Alligator mississippiensis: one gene and its partner. The protein of the gene in region 1 interacts with the protein of each later gene in a pairwise test. Links are inferred from orthologs where the notes say so. Each region holds a gene or a part of one and is shown on either strand. Other genes may lie near its edges.

Region 1 (3,749 bases):
AAAGCATTAGCGCCTTGGGAACGGTGGCATCCACCCCCGGGAAATGTCATGGTGGGAAAAAGCGATATCCACCACAGACTTTCCCTCTGGGGATGGTTATCACTACAGCCCAGTCAAGACCGGGAAGGCTCCCAACAGCTTGTCCAGAGGAGGGTCTCACTGGGGAATGCCCCCCTGCCCCTCCAGTCTCATCTGCCCTTAATCCCCCAGAGCCCACGCTTACCTCTTGTGCCCCTCACTTACACAAAACTGGGGGTTTAACCACACTCAGCTGCCCCCGTGCTCACAATTATCTCACGGTGAGCAAGTGCTAAACCCAGTAATGTGGCCCTGTTTTATTTGGGGACAACTAGTTTAGGCCTCACCATGGGACAAGGCTGGGGGCAGGGAGGTAACACGGAGCGGCCAAGTTGCGGTAAATTCTCCGTGAACGACGGACACGTGAACAGCAATAACTGCATGAATGGAGTTGCATGGAATTACGTGACTGTGAGGGCAAAAAAAGGTTAGGGCTGTCTCCTCCACCCATGCCTCCGCTGCCATCTTAGCATGAATGACTCAGATCTGCTCCTCCAGCCCTGACCCATCTCATCTTGGCCCATATCTCAGACATCTCTATGTCAGCACCAGCTTTCTGTGGCTGAACTCCGGATCCTGCCCCCACCACTGCTTCCAGAGCCTTCTCATCACTCGGGTGTGTAATCAAGGAGTCATCTCGGACTTCCCCCTCCCTTTATTTCAAGCAAGTTTTATTCTGATTTCACCTCAGCTGGGCAGGAACTGTTGTGAGCAAACCAAAGTGCAAACCGACTGGATCTTCCCTTCAACACAACTCCCCCGCTGGCTCCCCACGCCATTCCAACGCAAGGTATAGTTCAAGCAGCCGATTCCCCCTACCTGCAAGGCCCTGCTTCCTCTCTATTCCCCCTCACTGCCACATGCTCCTTCCCAAGCCAAAGTCAGTCTCATGCGGCCCTCCTTCTGCATTCCCCCTCACGCCTGGCGACTCTGAGCTCTCACCCCCTCTTCTCAAGTAGATCCCCACACGCTTTGCAGGGCAAGTGCTGCTTCCCTGACCTGCTACCTGGTCTCCTTGATCCCTTTCCTGGAAGCCAGAAGATCCACAGGAAACAAGCAAGCTGGAGGGAAACAGGTGGCACTTTCTATTAGTTGGGGTAGTGGTGGAAGGGAATTATCAATACGTACGAGCCATAAAAATCGCACCTACTGGCTATTTATCGCTCCCCCTGACTCTGCCTATGCCCCGCACCTTCTCGGACTACAAGCGTGACTGTCACCATCCTGCACCAAACCAAGGGTCTCCAGTGCTGAAAGCCTGTGCCGCTGGGACCAGAGGAGAGCATGCCCTGGATGGGTCAGCAACACATACAACTCTTTTGACGCACACCTCTCCCAGTACGGCACCTATCACACAAAGGCCCCAAACACTGGTGACCACAAAACAAGCACGAATTACGCACTTTATCACCCTTCGGCAACGACTCGAACTCCTCCCTAACCCACAGCGCGGGGAGGCCAGGTCTGAAGCTAAGGTCTGCATTCAAATCATAGCACAGCACTCAAAAGGGGCTTCTTCACTTCCCCCTCTCCCAGGGGCAACTCATTAGGGCAGGATGACGCTTCCAGGTGGACTCGTTGATGTGGCATCAGCCGCTCTGCATGGGATCAGCAGCCCAGCGGATGCCTGGGAATTAAGGAGCCTCCACGTCCCCTCAGCCCAGCTCCGTCACCTGTCTCCAGCTGTGGCCAAATCCCTGCTGCTTCCAGAGGCAGCACCAGGAGAGACAGACGGAGTCCAGTTCCCGGCTCTCAGGTTTACGCAACGCCGAAGCAGGCGGCACCGTTACACCACTTTGCCTTCGGACAAATTACTCACCCAGGTTGTTAAAAACCCTGGAGTCTCCCACACCAGCCTCGTGCCGAGGGCAGCGCAGGGCTTCCCGGCGCCGGGTCCCAGTTCTAGGTCTGTGCAGCGCTGGAGTATCCTAAATTGACCTCCCTTTCCTTTCGCTTGGGAGGAGGGAGGAGCAGGTCCAACTGCCCTCGAGGGGTGCCAATAAACGCCGGGCACCAGGCAGAGGAGAAGGAGTCACCTACCACGCGGCAACGGGATACGGCGCTCGCGCCCACGCAGCTCAGCCACGAGTCACTGGCACCCACGGACGCGCCCCGCGCCCTCCCACGACGCCCCGCCACGCGCCAGTCCCCAACGGGGCTCCCTTCGCAGCGCCGCGGGGCGGTCTCCCTACCTCATGCTGTAGGCCCCGGCGCCCAGCTCCTGCCCGATGCCCGAGAGGCTGGCATCGAAATCCTGCACCAGCCCCGACTCGATCACCTCGTCCGCCAGCGGCAGCTTCAGGGCCCACGCCATCCTGGCCGCTCCGGGGGGTCAGCGCACAGCGAGCCCCCACGGGGCCGGCCACCCCGCAGACGCCCCCCTAGTCCCAAGGCACGTGACCCGGGGGGGGGGGGACCCCGGCCCCACCGCTACCACCACCCCTGAGGGCGTTCCGGGGGCGCTGTCCTGCCCAACAAGCGGGGCTCCCAGCACCCCAGCCTTGCTCCCGCCCCGCCCCGCCCCGCCCCTGCAAGGGATATTAGCCCCCCGGCACCCCCCACCCCCACGGATTTTAACCCCTCACACCCCGTCACCCTCAGGGGACGTTAACCCCTCGCACCCTGAGGCCCAGTCTTTCCTCCCAGGAAATTTAACCCCTCACACCCCCCCTCCTAGGGAAGTTAACCCCTCACACCCCACGGCCCAGTCTTTCCTCCCATGGAAATTAACCCCTCGCACCCCAGGGCCCAATTCCCTTCCTACCACAAGCCCGGCCCCCGGAGCGCCCGTTCCCCGCGAGGCCCCGGGCGCAGCTCGGCGCCCCCGGCGGCCCCCGCAATATGGAGGCGGCAGCGTCGCGGACCCCCCACGCCAGCCCGGCCGGGAACACGCCCCGCCCCCGTCTTCCGCCCGCGGCCAATGGCGACGCCCCTGGCCGCCCGACGCGCACGCGGCGCCGGCCAATCGCCGCTCCTCTGGGGGCCGCGGCCCGGGGGAGCCGCGCCGCGATTGGCTACGAGCGCGGGGCGGGGCGGGGCCGGCGGGGTGACGGGACTCGGCGTGGTGGGGACCAGGTTCGGCCTCCTCCCCCCTCCCTTGGAGCCGCGAGTTCGAGTCCGGCCCCGCCCCGGGGTGTTAACCCTTCACGCGCCTGGCCGCAGCGGGAGGGCATTGCCAACCTGTGCACGTGCAGATGCTGCCCGTGTGCAGTGCGCATCCCTCCCTTTGTGGCTGCCTGTCTCCCAGCACCCAAAAAGCTCCCCCCCCCTTACAGAATTAAACCCTGATGATTTGGGGATTAAAAAAACAGGCCTGATCTCTGCCTCCCTCCTGCCTGGAGAGCACCGGTCCGTGCAACCCTCCTTCCCGCCAGCCTCGAAAATCATCCGGGCTCCTAAATTTAGCAAGCTCTGAATTTTTTTTTTTTTTTTTTTTTGGGGGGGGGGGGGGGTCATTTTTCTCACCACCTTGCAAAAAGGATGTGGACCAGGATGCCATCTGGTGGCGAACCCTGCTCTGCAGTCCCAGCCCGACCTGGGGGTGGGGGGTCCAGTCTGGCCTGGGGGGCGCAGCAGGTGTCTGGGTGCGCGCGGGATGCTTCGGCAGCGCCGGCCGCTGCGGGGCACGCGGCGCCCGGCATCGGGTCCCTGAAAGCCGAAGACAGTCGTGG
Region 2 (3,749 bases), on another chromosome or scaffold:
ATAAACTAGAATATTACCAAGGCTGATTTAATTTAATTTATATCATTTGCCATCATAGTCTCTGGTCAACATGGTATTTAAGAATGGCTGATTTGCAGAGAAGACCTGGCCATACTACCTGATGCCAGCAACTAGAAGCATAAAAGTTAGTATGATAGCTGTAAAACTTTCAAGGATCCACTGAGAATAGGGTGATCTTTCCATGGTCAACCAGACTAGCATTAAGGCTAGTTTACATTGAAGATATAATGCTATAAAAATGCAAAATGAGCATACACATTCTTACATAGTAATACATAAATAATCCACCATTATTATTCCTTACTAATTAAAAAATTACACCTCATTTTATTTAAACAGCATGTGAGAGAAGCAAAAACAGAGTAGAAGTTTATTACAAAGAAAGAAATTGTGAAAATTTCAGTACAGGCAACCCCCACTTAGCATTAATTGGTTCCTGAAAAACTGAGCGTTAAGTGAAATGAGCATGAAGAGAAACCAAAAGTATTTGACAACCCAAGATGGCGACCACAATTGTTCTTAATGACCCAAAATGGTGACCAAGAGCGTTATAATGAAACTCGCTGAGCGCTAAGTGAAATCAGGTATAAATTTCAAATGAGCGTTATAGTGAAATAGCGCTAAGTGAAACAGCATTAAGCAGGGGTTGCCTTTATACTATATGCAGTGTACCTGGCAGTACAAGAAAAATCTGTCATACTGTGTTTTTGATTGAAGAATTTAATATACTAGGTGGCATGACACTGAAAAAGCCAGACTGTCATGTGCATTTCACTTCACTGAGATGCATGCCAGATATGGACGGTATGGTAGGCATGGATGGAAACCCCATCAACAGCCAGATCTATATCGAAGATCTGCCAAAGCAAAAAGAGCAGGATATGGAGGTAAGTTTTGCTGCATTTGTAACACAGATAATTATCTAGGTTTTCTTGATTTGATCAAAACAGAATGAAACACACTTAGCCAAAAATTAGGTGTACCTTTTATATGCTCTTTCATTTCAGTATCTAATTTATCACTTACATTATTTACTGTTTACTCTGTGAAAGGTAAAGTAACATGAGGACAAAAATGAGTTCATTTAGCATCAGCAGAGATAAAAGAGAGTTTTCCTTATGGAAATTTGTTAAAATGAACATACAATAAAGAAAGCATCACTATAAATGCTTCTGTTAAAACAGTTCAGCCTTATACAGCACACATATTTTCTGGTTTTTTTAAGACACAGCTTTCAGATTTGATCCAAAAAAGTGCATAATCTCTCAAAGAAGGGGACATGTGTAGTTTTCTTATAAGAATTTTCCTGCATGATGTACATGCTGAAATCCAAATCTCCATTCAAGAATGAAAATCTGAGCTGGGCAATCTGGTTTCATGTACTCTGGCAGTCTCTCTTGGAATAATCCAGGAATGAAAATCTGACCTAAGCTGTTTGCCTTTATAAACTCTGGACGTGTCTACTCTGAAATTCCAGCAGATTGGCAACTCTTCTCTACCAGTGCACAGCTTTATGTCTGACCTTGATTTCAAATGCTAGAAGCTGACAAGAATTCTCAATACCTGAGAACAGTTCTAACCAAGCACAAGATATACTTAGATGAACCCAGGAAGATTAAGAATATATAAAGCCAGCACACTGACTACATTACCCCTGCAGAAACATATTTACAGCATATTTGCTGATGCTACAGATTAGAAACATTTGCCTTTCCCAAAAGTTTGAATGAAGAGAAAGTAAATTAACTCAAGGTAGGTCAGACACAGGGGATACCACAACAAAACCAAAATGAGACACATTTTGTGATGGACAACACTAAGCTCTGTTCCAGCTGAAGTCTTGAGGGGAGGCTTTTCCTACACAGTCTCTAGGCATTTTATAGACAACAGAATTATGATGAAAGGTCAAGGGTGATCCCCTAAACTGTTCTAGGAGAGATGCTCCTTACACGGCTTCTCAGTAAAACAATTGTGAACTCTCATCTGTCTCCAAGAGTTAGGCTGCAACAGTGGCGTCAGCTCAGAACCATTCATAATGGTAAGCACCTACAAGTATTGTTTGAAAGAACTGAAAAGAGTTCACTCCTTGTATGAGGAGGATGAGGAGGTGGTAGTGGCATACTACAAAGAACAGGAAACTTTGGTTCAATTTCCTCATCAGCCTAAGAAGATTCAAATGCATATCTTCTTAGAACATGCCTTATTTATTATTAGGTTATGTGCTAAATTGAGTGAGAACATGCTCCACCTCTATATAGACACTTTACTGTGCAGTAGACTAATCTACTGCACAGTAAAGCATCACCATTTACACTTGTGCAGCAGTTACTGTACAGTAAATTAGTCTACTGTATGGTTGGCTACTACCTGTAGATACAGGTTGTAGATTAACTGTGCAGTAGCTAGTGTGCAGTAGTGCACATGTAGACAAATGACCAGGAGCAAGTTGCTTCTGGTCAGGCCAGGCAGCAGGGGGCAGGGGAACTGTCCCCTCCCTTGATCAGCTGTCTCCCAGCCCTGTGCTCCAATCAGCAGATTGGGGCATAGGGCTGGGAAGCAACTGCTTGGAGGAATGACAGTTGCTGAACCCCACACCCTGATCGTCTAACAGCTCCCCTCATCTCCAGAACCCGGCCAGCCCCTGGTGCACTGTGACAGCCTGGGGTGGGCACCCAGGAGAGCCTGGAGCTCCCTCTGGCTGCTGTAGAGAGGCAGAGCAGAGCAGGAGTAGCCCTGCACTGAGCTGCTCCCATTGGGAGCAAACTTGCTCCCAATGGGTGCACATGTAAATGCGCTTCCGAGGAAAGCTTACTGCGCCTTACTTTAAGACATTACTTCAAGGTGCAGTAAGCTTACAGTGCATTAATGGCATGTGTAGATGTGCCCACAGTGAAGCAAGATTCACAGTGCCTTGAGGAGAGCAAAAGGGAGCATGATTCTGAAGACAGCATGACTACGTAAATGAGTAGTTAGGCAATTTGTGTGGGGGGAGGGTTGGTCTCTGCCGCTACACTGTTCATGTATTTTAAATGAAACAGTTTCATAGTAGCTAGGGTCAGGAGGGACCTGAACAGATCATGTAGCCTGACCCCCTGCCACAGGCAGGAATGAATGCTGGGTTCACAAGACCCCAGACAGGTGATCATCCAACCTCCTCTTGAATTTGCCCAAGGTAGGGGTGAGGACCACTTCCCTGGGAAGTTGGTTCCAGATTTTGGCTACCCTTACTGTAAAAAATTGCCTTCTGATCTCTAACCTAAACCTATTCTCCATCAGCTTTTTACCGTTGTTCCTTGTCACCCCAGGTGGTGCTTGGGAGAAAAGGGTTCTACCTATTTGCTGTTGATCTCCCCTGATGAGTTTGTGGGCAGCCACCAGGTCCCCCCCTCAGCCTCCTCTTGCTGAGGCTGAACAGGTTCAGATCCTTCAGTCTCTCCTCGCAGGGCCTATCCTGCTGCCCTCTCACCAAGTGGGTGGCCCTCCTCTGAACCCTCTCCAGGCTGGCCACATCCCTCTTGAAGTGCGGCGCCCAGTACTGGACGCACTACTCCAACTGTGGTCTGACCAAAGTTGCATAGAGGGGGAGTATCACCTCTCTGGACTGGCTTGAGATGCACCTTTGGATGCATGACAAGGTCTGGCTGGCCTTGCTGGCTGTGGTCTGGCATTGGCAGCTCATGTTCATCTTGGAGTCAATAATGTTTCCAAGATCCTGTTCCGCCTCTGTG

The links. The genes of interacting proteins can lie anywhere in the genome.
Region 2: the proteins of TFCP2 (region 1) and carbonic anhydrase 1 interact in binary tests that used the Homo sapiens proteins (3 or more experiments, as listed by UniProt). The two-hybrid records come from large-scale screens. The link is inferred for Alligator mississippiensis from reciprocal best matches to the Homo sapiens genes TFCP2 and CA1.

Annotation. Positions count from the first base shown.
Region 1 is NC_081838.1:10,255,534-10,259,282, reverse strand, and holds the start of TFCP2 (alpha-globin transcription factor CP2), read right to left. Parts: upstream 2,589-3,749; 5' UTR 2,393-2,588; coding exon 2,271-2,392; intron 1-2,270.
Region 2 is NC_081826.1:50,076,001-50,079,749, forward strand, and holds the start of carbonic anhydrase 1, read left to right. Parts: upstream 1-827; coding exon 828-908; intron 909-3,749. UniProt on the Homo sapiens protein: Catalyzes the reversible hydration of carbon dioxide. Can hydrate cyanamide to urea.